Oryctolagus cuniculus: one gene and its partners. The main gene of each other region encodes a partner of the protein of the gene in region 2 in a complex. Links are inferred from orthologs where the notes say so. Each region holds a gene or a part of one and is shown on either strand. Other genes may lie near its edges.

What was found.
Region 1: NUP205 (region 2) and NUP160 share a complex: the UniProt entries of both Homo sapiens proteins name them as parts of the nuclear pore complex. The link is inferred for Oryctolagus cuniculus from reciprocal best matches to the Homo sapiens genes NUP205 and NUP160.
Region 3: the proteins of NUP205 (region 2) and NUP85 are in contact, whole or in part, in a cryo-EM structure (PDB 7TDZ), measured with the Xenopus laevis proteins. The link is inferred for Oryctolagus cuniculus from reciprocal best matches to the Homo sapiens genes NUP205 and NUP85. Residues at the interface, in XP_041443600.1 of Xenopus laevis: Glu1477, Cys1480, Arg1481, Cys1484, Asp1485, Ser1517, Gly1518, Tyr1519, Leu1520, Lys1521, Val1522, Val1524, Asp1525, Ser1574, Gly1575, Gln1582, Gln1638, Gly1641, Gln1642, Gln1645, Val1648, Leu1690, Asp1691, Ile1692, Gly1693, Leu1694, Asn1695, Asp1696, Gly1697, Ser1698; in XP_041431608.1 of Xenopus laevis: Ala86, Glu87, Glu88, Ala89, Ser90, Gly91, Lys92, Ser93, Arg94, Lys95, Pro156, Pro239, Met240, Gly245, Thr246, Gln247, Thr248, Leu249, Thr250, Glu251, Phe252, Glu253, Leu254, Lys255, Trp256, Gln257, His258, Trp259, Pro315.
Region 4: NUP205 (region 2) and CETN3 share a complex: the UniProt entries of both Homo sapiens proteins name them as parts of the nuclear pore complex. The link is inferred for Oryctolagus cuniculus from reciprocal best matches to the Homo sapiens genes NUP205 and CETN3.

What each region holds. Positions count from the first base shown.
Region 1 is NC_091432.1:18,194,802-18,198,467, reverse strand, and holds part of NUP160 (nuclear pore complex protein Nup160), read right to left. Parts: intron 1,929-3,666; coding exon 1,829-1,928; intron 1,526-1,828; coding exon 1,360-1,525; intron 239-1,359; coding exon 111-238; intron 34-110; coding exon 1-33. UniProt on the Homo sapiens protein: Functions as a component of the nuclear pore complex (NPC). Involved in poly(A)+ RNA transport.
Region 2 is NC_091434.1:171,453,077-171,456,384, reverse strand, and holds the end of NUP205 (nuclear pore complex protein Nup205), read right to left. Parts: intron 857-3,308; coding exon 704-856; 3' UTR 516-703; downstream 1-515. UniProt on the Homo sapiens protein: Plays a role in the nuclear pore complex (NPC) assembly and/or maintenance. May anchor NUP62 and other nucleoporins, but not NUP153 and TPR, to the NPC.
Region 3 is NC_091448.1:5,320,635-5,324,300, forward strand, and holds part of NUP85 (nuclear pore complex protein Nup85), read right to left. Parts: intron 3,271-3,666; coding exon 3,108-3,270; exon of another isoform or gene 3,055-3,107; coding exon of another isoform or gene 3,008-3,054; intron 465-3,007; coding exon 394-464; intron 1-393. UniProt on the Homo sapiens protein: Essential component of the nuclear pore complex (NPC) that seems to be required for NPC assembly and maintenance. As part of the NPC Nup107-160 subcomplex plays a role in RNA export and in tethering NUP96/Nup98 and NUP153 to the nucleus.
Region 4 is NC_091445.1:13,123,409-13,127,074, reverse strand, and holds part of CETN3 (centrin-3), read left to right. Parts: intron 1-2,178; coding exon 2,179-2,370; intron 2,371-3,666. UniProt on the Homo sapiens protein: Plays a fundamental role in microtubule-organizing center structure and function. As a component of the TREX-2 complex, involved in the export of mRNAs to the cytoplasm through the nuclear pores.

The DNA.
Region 1 (3,666 bases), on a different chromosome or scaffold from region 2:
GGGAAAGATTCATCCGCACATTTAAAGGCTGAGCTGAAATAAGAAATAAAGTTAAATGTATCACTGCTTTCTCTAAAGCCAAGAGGTACTTTGGCTGTTCTGTCATTTACCTGGATTGAATCCCTTTTCCATTTCCACGTCTGTTTCATAATCCATTTCCCGTATAAGAACGCCAATGGCCTGGATTGGATTCCGAATTTCTTGCAGTTTACTACAAATATCCTCTAGCACATTTTCTCTACAGAGGCAATCAGGAAACTTCTGTTACTACCAAGAATACTACCAAGAATACCCAATGTCCTGTAAACTAAATGCTCTGTGACACAGGAAAGCCAGCAACGTGATAAAGCAGGAGACACAACTGTTCAGGTATACGAGATACCACACAGCAAAATTTCTTTCAACTTTTCAGAACTGGCAAACAAGATGATTGTGAGGAAACTACTTTTTCTTTTTAGAATCAATAATTAATAGCTGTATCACAGCTTAGGAATCTGCATGTGTTAGAATTTCTGTTTGGGGCTGGTGTTGTGGCATACTGGATAAAGCCACAGCCCATGACATCTAGCTCGTGTCCCGGCTACATCCCACATGGGCACCAGTACAAGTCCCAGCTGCTCCACTGCTGATCCAGCTTCCTGCTAATGGCCTGGGAAAGCAGGAGAAGATGGTCCAAGGCCCCTGTCATCCACATGGGAGACCCAGATGAAGTTCCTGGCTCCTGGCTTTGGCCTGGCCATTATAGCCATCTGGGGAGTGAACCAGAAGATGGAAGATTCTCTCTGTAACTTTGACTTTCAAACAAACAAACAAATCTTAAAAAAAAAAAAAAAAAAAAAAAAAAACCCTTAAACAAATTTCTGGGGGCTGGCGTCGTGGCATAGTGGGTAAAGCCACCACCTGTAGTGCTTGTGTCCCATATGGGTGCTGGTTCGAGTCCTGGCTGCTCCTCTTCCAATCCAGCTCTATACATGGCCTGGGAACACAGTAGAAGATGGCCCAAGTTCTTGGGCCCCTGCACCCACGTGGGAGACCAAGAAGCTCCTGGCTCCTGGCTTCAGATGGGCCCAGCTCCAGTTGTTGAAGCCACCTGAGGAATGAACCAACAGATGGAGACCTCTCTCTCTCTCTGCCTCTCTGTAACTCTGCCTTTTAAATAAATCAATAATTCTTAAAAAAAAGACAAAGATTTATTTAAAAAAATTGTCCAAAAGCTGAAATATCTATTGAGAATCATGACAATTCATTTTATCTTCAAGCCATTAATTTGAACACTCTTTTGCATACAAAAATTCGATTTGGCACTAAAAATTGCTGAATTTCCATTAGGAAATGCACTTTACCCTAAGTTCTCCTTACACATCAACAGTGATCAAATCTTCCAGAATCTGTTCCGCAGCCTTCTCTGGAGACTGTAGGTTGTAGCAACTCATTTCCATCATAACTGACATGTCCATATTTACGGACTCTCCAATCAGCCGAAGACATTTTATAAGACATATGACATCTCGAGCAACATCCACATCTAGGAAGAGAAAAGTTAACATTCTAGTCTCAAATCAGTGATCTAATTAATATTATATTGTTAATTATTAAATGCCCAGACATCTATCTGATGTCTTTGAGATATGGAGGCCTCTATATCTTCCCTTGAAGTATCTACAATGTGGTAAAATGGCCAGTGGTAATCAATGTCCTTTGCATGTACTTGTAAAAGGTGAAAGATTTATACGATCTGAAGAGAAACCAGAGTATATTTTGCATGTACTTGTAATAAAGCACAGGTTCATGTAGGAAAGGGAATAAACATACAAATAACAATCATTACCATCAGATATGGTTGTCTCATCCTCTGTCAACAGGTTCTCATCAGGCAGTAGATACAAATGGTCCACTAGGGAAGAGGGCATAAGAAAAGACAGGTACCCCTGGAAATTGAAATATTCTGGTTACATTTTTTCAGTGAATTTTTAAAGGTATAAAATAATTGTGATGTGAGTTTTATCATGAGGCAACACCAGAGAAACTCCAGTTGATGGACACTGTAAAAAATACATGTGTAGTCATCAGAAAAATGTCAGTCATGAAAGACAAAGAAAGGCTGAAGATAGTTCAAGATTAAGTTAAATAAACAAGACAACTAGATATATCTAGGTCCTCGGATTGGATCTTGGATCACAAAGAAAATTATGGGCACAACTGGAAAAATTATTAACTGTGTAATAATGTATCAATATCAAATTGTTGATCTTTAAATTCTACTGTGGTTATTTAGGATAAACATCCATGCTTTTAGAGACTTGCTGAAGTTTTTAAGGACAAAAGGGCATGATGTCTGGGACCAGCACTGTGGCACAGTGGATTAAGCCATAGCCTATAGCACCAGCACAAGTTCATGTCCTGCTGCTCCATGTCTGATCAGCTTCCTGCTAATGCTTCTGGGAAAGTAGCAGAAGATGGCCCAAGTCCTTGGGCTGCTGTATCCATGCTGAAGACCTGCATTAAGCTTCTGGCTCCTGGCTTCAGCCTGGCCTAGCCCCAGTTGTTGCAGCCATTTGGGGAGTGAACAAGCAGATGAAAGCTCTCTGTCTCTCCTTCTCTCTCTGTATCCTTTCAAATAAATAAATATATCTTAAAAAAAAAAAAAAAGTGCATGATGCTACAAGCTGGGAAGAAAACTCTCAAATGGCCCAGAAAAAAAAACATATTTATACAAAGAAGAATCACAAATGGAAATTAAAAGATGGATCTGGATGAAGGCTTTCTAGGCCGGCACCGCGGCTCACTAGGCTAATCCTCCGCCCTGCGGCGCCGGCACACTGGGTTCTAGTCCCGGTCAGGGCGCCGGATTCTGTCCCAGTTGCCCCTCTTCCAGGCCAGCTCTCTGCTGTGGCCAGGGAGTGCAGTGGAGGATGGCCCAAGTGCTTAGGCCCTGCACTCCATGGGAGACCAGGAGAAGTACCTGGCTCCTGCCATCGGATCAGCGCGGTGCACTGGCCGTAGCGCGCCGGCCGCAGCAGCCATTGGAGGGTGAACCAACGGCAAAAGGAAGACCTTTCTCTCTGTCTCTCTCTCTCACTGTCCAACTCTGCCTGTCAAAAAAAAAAAAAAAATTTTTATGCTATTTTTAATTTTTATCATTTATTCAACAAATAAAATATAATGTTTTATTCTACTTTAATTTTAATTTTTTATTATCTATTAAATAAATAAATTTAAAAATCAAATGTAAAACAAAATAGATCAGGGTGGGCATTTGGTCATAAGTCAAGACACCACTAGTAAAGCCAGTGTTGTGGCACAGTGGGTTAAGATGCCACTTGAGGAATCTCAGTAGCTCTGCTTCTGATCCAATTTCCTGCTAACGAGCCTGGGAAGGCAACAGAAGACGAGCCAAATACTTGGGCCCAGGCCACCCATGTGGGAGACCAGGATGTATTTATTTCCTGGTTCCTAGCTTTGGCCTGGTTTGGACCTGGCTGTTGTGAATATTTGGGTGAATGAACCAGTAGATAGAAGATCAATACATCTTTCACTCTGTTGCTCTCCTGAAAAGATAAATAATTTTTGAAAAAATAAATATAAATAGATCCTAAAAAAAAATACTGTTTGAGAGGGACGTCTAAACTAGAGTGCTGGGATTTGAATTCCAGCTTTGCTTTTAAT
Region 2 (3,308 bases):
TCTTCTCCCCATCAGCAGTCTGTCCTAGTCATTAGGTTGAAACAATTGCTGGCTGGAGAGCAAACATCCACTTTCCGATAAAGTAGTCACATAAACACTTGAGCAAGAAACACGGGGAGGATTAGGTGAATTTTTAGTGCTCATGTTAATTATCCGAGAAAGATGGGCAGATGGTTAATTCTGTAATCATTTCTAAGGAACAAATGCAAATTATTACATTGTCCTTTCATGAGCAGAACAGGAAGAGGGGGGCAAAAGCTAAATTACTGTAGAAGGCATAGCTTGACTTTTTGAGACATTTCTATCACAAACTTTCAGACTGAGTAAACCACTCTAACAGATAATGGACACAGTTAATTATCCACTCTTCCCCATGCAGTAAAAGTGTACCACAGGCCCAAAGGGTGAAAAAATTAGAATTTCCAGACTACTCTTTTAAAGTTTAGCATTCAGGACAATGTATCTGGGGAAAAACCATCACTGTAGAAAGTTGGTGCATTTTAAAAGGACCATGGTTGTTTTTAAAAAAGTATTTATTTTTCACTAGTGAGGATGGATCCAGGCAAAGAGATTTACACAAAAGTGTCCATATATAAAGAAAGAAATAGCAAAATATTTTTGGTCATAATTTAGAAACAAACTAATCCACAAAAAGGAGACAGTTTTCCCCAATTCCTCTTCCACAGAAGAACACAGCAGGGGCTCAGTTCCTGGATATCCTCATGAGGCCACGGATCCGTCTGACAAGAGCCTGGATGAAACTGTAGCGAGACCGAACCTTTGAGTACAGTCCTTCAATGTCTAGAAGTTTCTTCTGTAGTGACTCTCCAAAAGCGTTGTTGGCATCAGCCTGAAGCTAGAGGTAAGACAGATGAAATTTTATTATTAAAGTTACCATCTCAAATATTTATCTTTTCCCATCTTCCAATTGTAAATACCTCTGAAATTTTGTAACGTGGTCTTTCCAACATAAAATATTTGGAACTGTAACATGGAACCAAGTGAACTGACCCGGCTGTTCACATTTTCTGTCCGGATTTCTGGTATGATTCTAGTGCTCTTCTCTCCTTTGCTGTACAAATGTGGGGATTTTTAAATGTGCTTTAAACAGCAACTTGATGCTAATGCTGACATATCGTCAAGCACACAAACACATATCCTAAGGGGCTACACAACAAGTTGGCTAACAGTATGTGCTTTTAAAAAAGAAGAGTAGGTGTGCCGGTGCCGTGGCGCAGCGGGTTAAAGCCCTGGTCTGAGGCGCCGGCATCCCATATGGGCGCCAGCAGAGTTCCAGCAGCTCCACTTCCGATGCTGCTCTCTGCTGTGGCCTGGGAAAGCAGTGGAAGATGGCCCAAGTCCTTGGGCCCCTGCACCCACATGGGAGACCTGGAAGAAGTTCCTGGCTTCAGATTGGTGCAGCTCTAGCCATCTGGGGAGTGAACCAGTGGATGGAAGACCTCTCTCTGTCTCTACTTCTCTCTGTAACTGTCTTTCAAATAAATAAAATAAATCTTTTTTTTTTTTTTTTTTTGACAGGCAGAGTGGACAGTGAGAGAGAGAGACAGAGAGAAAGGTCTTCCTTTGCCGTTGGTTCACCCTCCAATGGCCGCCGCAGCTGGCACGCTGTGGCCGGCGCATCGCGCTGATCCGAAGCCAGGAGCCAGGTGCTTCTCCTGGTCTGCCATGCAGGTACAGGGCCCAAGCACTTGGGCCATCTTCCACTGCACTCCTGGGCCACAGCAGAGAGCTGGACTGGAAGAGGGGCAACCGGGACAAAATCCAGCACCCTGACCGGGACTAGAACCTAATGTGCCGGCGCCGCAAGGCGGAGGATTAGCCTATTGAGCCACGGCGCCAGCCTTAAATAAAATAAATCTTAAAAAAAATAGAAAAAGAATAGGTGGGGAGAAAAGCTTTTATCCTTCACTGTTTAATTTCTAAAACCACACTTGCTTTGGGAGAGGCAGCAGCAGCCAGGCAGCCCTGTTTCACTGAGGCTCTCGGTGCGCCGTGGCCCACCGGCACCCAGCATGCACCCTTCCCACCACCAAGATGCCCAAGAGGAATTGAGGGATGTAAGCCCAAGAAGATAGGTGGGGTGGTCCCCCAAACCTGCTCCTACAAAAGTAGAAATGAAGTTAAAAAAAAAAAAAAAAAAAAAAAGCAGCAGCAAAGTGTATCTTCAGACAGAAAAGTACAAATCAAAGGGAAGAGAAACAAAGTGAAAACAGGCCGCACTGGCTCAAACAAGAAACCAGAGATCTGCCAGCAGGAACAGAGAAACTAAAAGCAAGGAGCGTCTGGCCTGATGAAGCAGCTGTCATACGCCCGTCTCAGCAGTGGTCCTGGTCTCCCTTCTTGAACCATCCAGAGGAATGGTTTCATCAACTTTTTGCAAATCAAGTTTTCAAGTTGCTCTAGAAACATTTTCTAAGAAAGAAGGAATCCAATCTCATCCCATTTTTTCAAGTGTAACTGATTTTTTTAAAGGTGAAATCATCTGCTGGTTGGTTATTTCCAGTCCAACCAGAGAACAGCTGTTTTCTGTACAGGAGGCTCTGGCTGCCATGGTGTCAGCTTAGACGTCCACAGATGTCCACAGACGTCTAACATCTCTCATTACAAAGCATACTAAACGGCACTGTGGAGTCACAGTTGTGCATTTAATCTGTTGTTGTTCAGTACAATTGTTTCCTACAGAAAACCACTCCTTACCACTGTCCTGTCACAACAGGGCATGTTCCTTAACATGTTTTGTTATGATTCAGTTTTCCTAATAACTTGTTAATGTGTTGTGAAAGGCTGAAAATTCGAGTATGTAATTTTTATGATAAACTGTGGCCTGGTGGGACTTATGTAACAGCTTGTCAATATTTGAAGATATTGGTACTTAGTATCTTGTTAAGGAAAATTTGCCTCCAAAGGCAAAGCTGGAAAGTCACTGGAATAACTCTTCGCCGCAAGATGGAGGATTAGCCTAGTGAGCCGCGGCACCGGCCTTGGAATAACTCTTAAAAAGGATCACAATACATGGCCTTTTAGATTTTTGGTACATATGTTAGGAAATGTGCACAAGTGGAAATATCTGTGTATTGATTCTGAACACTACCAGGAAAATCTCGATTATGAAAGAAAAAAACCCATTTGCTTGTTTTCAAGAAATATCAATTGGGTAAGACAGGAGAGGGGGTTTAACCTGAACCATACGTTAGAATTCAATGTATTCCAGAATGCATATGTCGTTTTAGATGGGTCTTTTGGATCCACCCTTCTATGCTAAAATACTAAAATTAAGCAGTGAATTA
Region 3 (3,666 bases), on a different chromosome or scaffold from region 2:
CCTTTCAAATAAATAAATATTTAACAAAAACAAACAAAAAACAAGGGGCCAGCACTGTGGCACAGCAGGTAAAGCCACCATCATCTGGGTCCCAGTTTGAATCCTGGCTTCTCCACTTCTGATCCAGCTCTCTGCTATGGCCTGGGAAAGCAGTGGAAGATGGCCCAAGTGCTTGGGCCCCTGCACTCGCATGGGAGACCCAGAGGAACTCCTGGCTCTTGGCTTCAGATTGAATTAGCCCAGCTCCGGCCACTGCAGCCATTTGGGGAGTGAACCAACAGATGGAAAACCTCCCCCTCTCTCTGGTTTTGCCTCTCTGGAACTCTCCCTTTCAAATAATAAATAAATCTTAAAAAAAAAAAAAAAAAGGGCAAAACACTACCCCCTCCTTACTTGTCGTCTGGTGCATTTCCTCCATACACGCTCTGATGACTGAACGGTAGTTTTTACTCACACGAACCAGCCTACAAAAATGAAGCAGATAGAAGATGAGCCTGGAACATCTGTGGAGCCAGAAAGTAAGGAAGGGCTCAAAAAAAAGGAATTTACAGATCACAGGAGCCAACCTGAAGGAGCTCCAGATACTGCAGAGCTAGAACAACTTGAGTAACAAAACAAGTAAAATATAACATAAATCATGGTATATATTAAAAAAAAAAAAAGCCCAAGACTCCATACTGATATCAGTTGTTGCAGATCAGATCCACCGACAGATACTAAAATGAGTGGGTGAAAATGTAAGAAGAAATAGGATTTCAGGTGTCAAAGCAGGGCTGGCACTGTGGCATAGCAGGTAAAGCTGTCAGCTGCAGCGCCTGCATCCCATGTGGGCACCAGTTCAATCCCAGCTGCTCCACTTCTGATCCAACTCCCTGCTGATGCTCCTGGGAAAGTAGCAGAGGATGGCCCAAGTATCTGGGCCCTGCACCCATGTGGGAGACCCAGAAGCACCTCCTAGCTCCTGACTTCAGGTCAGCTCAGCTCCAGCTGTTATAGCTTTTTGGGAAGTGAACCAGCAAATTGAAGATCTCTCTCTCTGTCTTTCCTTCTCTAACCCTGCCTTTCCAACAAATAAATAAATATTTAACAAAACGGAGAGGGGAAGGGAAAGGGGGAGGGAAAGGGATAGAAAAGGTGGGGGCGGTGGTTGGTGCTCTGGCACAGCAGGTTAAAGCCCCAGCCTGCCCCACCGGCACCAGTACAAGTCCCAGCTGCTCCACTTCCTATCCAGCTCCCTGCTAATGCACCTGGGAAAGCAGCAGAGGATGGCCCAAATCCTCAGGCACCCGCACCAACACCCATTTAGGGAGCAGTCATTTGGGGAGAGAACCAGCAGGTGGAAGATCTCCCTCTCTCTCTACCTCTTTCCTTCATATAAATAAAAAAAAAATCTTAAAAAAAAAAAAGCAGAGAGTTCCCAGCTAACGGTGGTCTACCCAGCAGAAACAGCAGACAACGCAGTAACCAAGGTAAACACCACCAGTAACCGAATGTCGACACCAGGAGCCTTATGCACAATCGCAACTTCTGCAGTGTCCTTGCTAGTAAGTGCATGGTCTTTGTCCAGTTACGAGAGAACAGCTGACAAACTCAGGCTGAGGGACACCCCATAAAGCAGACAGTGCTCTGCCAAAGTGTAGTGGTCATGGGGAGACTAAGCAAAAGAACCAAGTGCAACCTCATTCAGCTGCAGAAGGAAAAAAAGACATTAGTGCAAAAATCGGGGAAATTCAAGTAAGGTCTTCAGTTAGTCGTCAGTGTTAACTGGTTTTAATAACAGTAAATACAGTTTTCTAAGATACTGATATTAGGGAAGCCAGGTGGGAGACATACACTATTTTTCTAACTCTTCTGTAAGTCTAAAATTAGTTCAAAATATGTCTGGGGCATAGACTGTGCCACAGATGAGACTGCGCCATTTTACTAACATTCCCTCCTTTTGTTTTTTACAAACCAAGAGTTGTATGGGATTACGTTAGCCCCAAAAGTCCAGGAGTAGAGGGACGATGATGTGTCTTTAGAGCTACCTCCTGTTGACACAGGGTAACGAGGTACTCTCTGCTGTCATGGGCGTTGTCTGAAGCCACTGACTCCTGGGTGGGGAGCTGAGTATACCCCTGTAGCAGCACTTGGCTGACCACCTGGTTGGTGAAGGCCTTGGTTCGTTCCATTATCCCCTCCTGTAAATACTCAGAATTTGGAAGGCCAGTGTGTGGATGGGGATCACGAAGCTTTCGGTGGCGTGGAAGGAGTTCTGGGGCTGTGCTTTGTGACTGGCAGAAATCCAGGACCCCAGGGCAGCTCAGAGATCCCCGAAGTGAGAACAGAATCACTGAGGGAGCCTGGATTTGAGTCACGGCACCAATGTAAGCCCACCACAAGACAGATCGAACACCAGGGTAAGGGAAAGGTTTACTGGGGGAAACCCAGTAGATGGGAGGGAAGGGGCAAAGAAGAAAAAAGAGGGAGAAGGAGAGGATAAGAGAGAGCGACAGAGCGAGAAAGATCAAGAGACGGAGAGAGAGAGCTTGGGAGACGGAGAGAGAGAGCGAGATCGGGAGACGGAGAGAGAGAGAGAGAGCTTGGGAGACGGAGTGAAAGAGAGAGATCGGGAGACGGAGAGAGAGAGAGATCGGGAGACGGAGAGAGAGAGATCGGGAGACGGAGAGAGAGAGAGATCGGGAGACGGAGAGAGAGAGAGAGAGATCGGGAGACGGAGAGAGAGAGAGATCGGGAGTAAAGGAGCCCAAAAGTGATTCCTCAAGGACCAAACAGAACTCGCACTGTTTTGCTGATTTCCGAATCCCCCAACCATAGGGCCTCGCTCAGTGACGCTCAGGAGCTAATCTGGGCCAACTTCACTTCTCTGCATAATGAAGTAGAACATACACGTACTACACGTAAAGCTCAGGCAGCCAGCCAGTGAATCCACAGCAAGTGCACACTCCCTCCAGAATGCGCCTGCTGGGCAACGTGCAGGCCACCGCCAGAGCCAGGAGCCGCTTACTTCCCCAGGTGACCGCCCAGGCACCACAGGACAAGGGCACACTCCATCTGGCTGTTCACAACGTGGCTGTGGACTCAGGCACCTATCAGCAGCGACTCACTGAGCTTTTCTGGACTTTCCCGTGAATTCTTCCTCAATTCTTTGGAGGCCCACGAAGATTCCATGGGATTCATTGAAGAGTTTTCTCAAGATCTGAGAGTACACGCCTACATCCTTCCGGATGATATAGATAAAGGGGCAGCACGGCACCATCTCCGATTTTCCTGAAAGTAAACAGAAAAAAAGATTTAACATCTCTCATCATCACCCTGAGAGAATCCACTCTGAAAATCCGAACGGTCTAAATACAAAAGCTTTGGCTTCCTCACCCCTGACTTACAAAAAGTAAAGCAATGCAACGCGGGTGCTGTGGCACAGCAGGATAAGCTACCACTTGTGACACACATCCTGCAAAGTGCTGGTGGCTGGCGAGGGGCCGGCACTGTTGGTGTCGTGGGTTAAGCCATCGCCCACAACACCAGCATCCCATATGGTTGCCAGTTCTAATCCGTTACTCCACTTCTGATCCCACTCCATGCTAATGTGCCGGGGGAAGCAGTGGAAGATGGCCCAAGTGCTTGGACCCCTCGCACCCATGTGTGAGACCTAGATGAAGCTCT
Region 4 (3,666 bases), on a different chromosome or scaffold from region 2:
TACTTAAGGTATACTAAGCTGATCTTCTGTATATTAAGATAATCGAAAATGAATCTTGATGTGAATGGAAGGGGAGAGGGAGTGGGAAAGGGGAGGGTTGTGGGTGGGAGGGACGGTATGGGGGGGGGAAGCCATTGTAACACATGAGTCGTACTTTGGAAATTTATATTCATTAAATAAAAGATTAAAAAAAAAAAAGTACATGAGATGTATATTTAGATTTTTTCAAAATTTTATTTAGTAACTTAGAAAACTTTAATTCATTAATTTTTGCTTCAGTATGTGTTATTGTGGTTATGGATTAAAGACTGGTAATATAAAAAAATTAAGCTTACTAAATTGTTAGATATGGTTATATTTAGTATATTAACATATACTATCAGAATACACTATTACTGTTGAGCTCTGAAATTACATTTTGTTTAGTTGTTTGAGAGTTATTATCTTGTCTAAAAATGTTAGAGAGACTTCCTTTGTTTAGTTGTTTGGTGTGTTTGTGTGTGTGGCTTACTTAGTATAATAGATTCAATCTTTTTTTTAAGATTTATTTATTTATTTGAAAGGCAGAGTTACAGAGAAGCAGAGGCAGAGAGAGAGAAAGAGAGGTCTTCCATCTGTTGGTTCACTTCTCAACTGGCCACAATGGCCAGAGCTGGGCCGAACCAAAGCAGGAAGCCCAGAGCTTCCTCCAGGTATCCCACGTAGGTTTAGAGGCCCAAGGACTTGGGCCATCTTCTGGTTTTCCAGACCATACCAGAGAGCTGGATCAGAAGTGGAGCAGCCAGGACTTGAACCGGCACCCGTATGGGATGCTGACACTGCAGACAGTGGGTTTACCCACTACGCTACAGCATCAGCCACAGATTCAGTCTTTGTAACTGCTTTTCACGTTTTGGAAATTCAAGATGCTCTTCTAGCAGAAGGTGTTGTGGTGCAATGGGTTAAGCTGCCGCCTGGGACACCTATGTCCCATATTTGAGTAGGGTTTGAGTCCCAGCTCCTCTGCTCCTGATTCAGCTTCCTGCTAATGCTCCTGGGAGGCAGCAGATGATGGCCTGAGTACTCAGGCCCCTGCCACCTATGGGGGAGACCCCAATGGAGTTCCAGGCTCCTGGGTTCCATCTAGTTTAGCTCAGGCTGCTGCAGGCATTTGGAGAGTGAACTAGCTGGTGGAAGATCCATCTCTCTCTGACTCTCCCTCTCGGTTTCTCTGCCTTCCATATAAATAAATAAATCTTAAAAATAAAAAAGAGTTCTTGTAATCATGTGAAATGTTCGTCTCTTGTCTGAGATTGTGCCTATATCAATGATGGCTGTGATTTTGTTAATCTTTCGTTTTTAAATTTGGGAAAGAATTAGTTTTAGCAATAAGTGTAGTCAGCAAACAGCTTTTATTTAGTTTCTTCTAATTGTGTTGATATGTCTCTGTAACTAGGTTACAAATGTGTAGACTTGTGTGCTTAATGTCAGTGGAGCTTAGTACGACTTTTGATAATAGTAGACCGTAAGTAAGGAAAGTATGAGAATAGCCCTGTTTATTTTGCCTTCACGTGATACAGTTTTGCTTGCTCTTATAAGTCAAATTGTTGATAATAAAAAGGTTTATATAATATCAGTTTTTTTTTCTGGCCGGCGCCGCAGCTCACTAGGCTAATCCTCCGCCTTGCGGCGCCAGCACACCGGGTTCTAGTCCCGGTCGGGGCGCCGGATTCTGTCCCGGTTGCCCCTCTTCCAGGCCAGCCCTCTGCTGTGGCCAGGGAGTGCAGTGGAGGATGGCCCAGGTGCTTGGGCCCTGCACCCCATGGGAGACCAGGAGAAGCACCTGGCTCCTGCCATCGGATAGGCGCGGTGCGCCGGCCGCAGCACGCCGGCCGCGGCAGCCATTGGAGGGTGAACCAATGGCAAAGGAAGACCTTTCTCTCTGTCTCTCTCTCTCACTGTCCACTCTGCCTGTCAAAAAAATAAATAAAAATAAAAAAAAAATCAGTGTTTTTTCTAATATCAATTTGGTTTTTCTAATTTCACATTTATTTGGATTTGAGGAAATAACATGACATTTTATTGTCACATTAAATGTTGACATACTCATAGCTTTGATTGTCATCCAATGTTTAGTTGACCTTACAAATGAAAGCCTTTGTGATAATGAAGGCTTAAAAAGTTTCTTTTTAACTGCAGTGACAGACTGGATATTGGAAAGAGATCCACATGAAGAAATCCTGAAGGCATTTAAACTATTTGATGATGATGATTCAGGGAAAATCAGCTTGAGGAATTTGCGACGTGTTGCCAGAGAACTGGGTGAAAACATGAGTGATGAAGAGCTGCGAGCTATGATAGAGGAATTTGATAAGGATGGTGATGGAGAAAGTAAGTTTTGGGTAAAACATGTTTGTAGTGTCATGATGCTGTGCATCTAATACATGTTTCTGAAACTTAAAGACCTTCAAGACCCCTTGCAAGCTATCACTTATTCAGTGTATTTGTTGTTCAACCTGTAATGAGCTGTGTGCATACTCAATTTAGAGTGAAGTGGATTGTAATACCAATGACATGAGAGTCCATACTTCAGGTAGGTACTTTACTATTCTCTGAAGATGAAACATCTCTGAAATTTCAGCTTCTTAGTAAAACTTTGATGCCTCTTTCCTTAACCTGTGTGCATGTCTAAGCTCTTAGGAAGTTGCCTTGATTTTACCCTTCAGATGTTGATAGTTTATTTTTTACTTTGTCCACTGCTGCTGTCCTAGCTCAGAACCTAATTTCTTTTCAAGAATATTATGTTAGCCTTTATTTTGAGTGCCGTGTCCCATGTGCTGATTGCTACATAGTGACATAGACAGATACGGTTCCTGCCTTCCCTTTGTAGTCTCTTGTCTCCTCTCTTCCCATACTCTAGGCCAATAAGCCTCTGATTGCTACTTCTTCAGTCTATTGATTGTATAGACATCAAATCTAAAATACAGATTTGATGATGCCATTCCTGTGTGCTAACACAGAATGATTCCTCGCTGCCTCCAGCCTGAAGTTCAGAACCTTTTGTCATCTGTTCCACGTTAGTAACTAGTTTTATTTCCCACTGTATTCTACTTTAACCCTCCCTTTCCATATGTACATACTTTGACAATACTCTTGAGTATTTAGAAAAGATGCTTTGAAGCTGTGCCTTTTGTCATCTGTGCCTTTTGTCAGGGCTTTTCTTGATCTCAGAATGCACTAATTGCTGCCGTGTGTCTGCTAAAATGTTGCTCTTTGTCCCAGGTACATTTTAAATGCCATATTTTTCTCAAAATCCACCCCTAATGCCTCTGACTGTATGAATTATGAGACTTCCATTGAGGGCCCGTAGTGTATAGAGGAGCAAACTGGAAACTTTAACTTTTGGTTGCAAACCACATTTTGTTTAGAAATACAAACTGCTTTTTTACTTTCCTACTTCTGTGGATTTTAGTAATTCTATGTTTGTGAATTTTTCACTCTGCAGTTTCTAACAGCAATGAACATATTTGTTATATTTATTGAATAATAAACATGATAAGTGTGGAGTTAAAGGCAAACCAGTACTATACAGGAAAGCTGTGGTAATGATATAGAAAGGATTGTGTCCCCATCATCACAATACAGCTTTTTGGAAAAATATATGAAACATTTAAAAAAGACCAACTG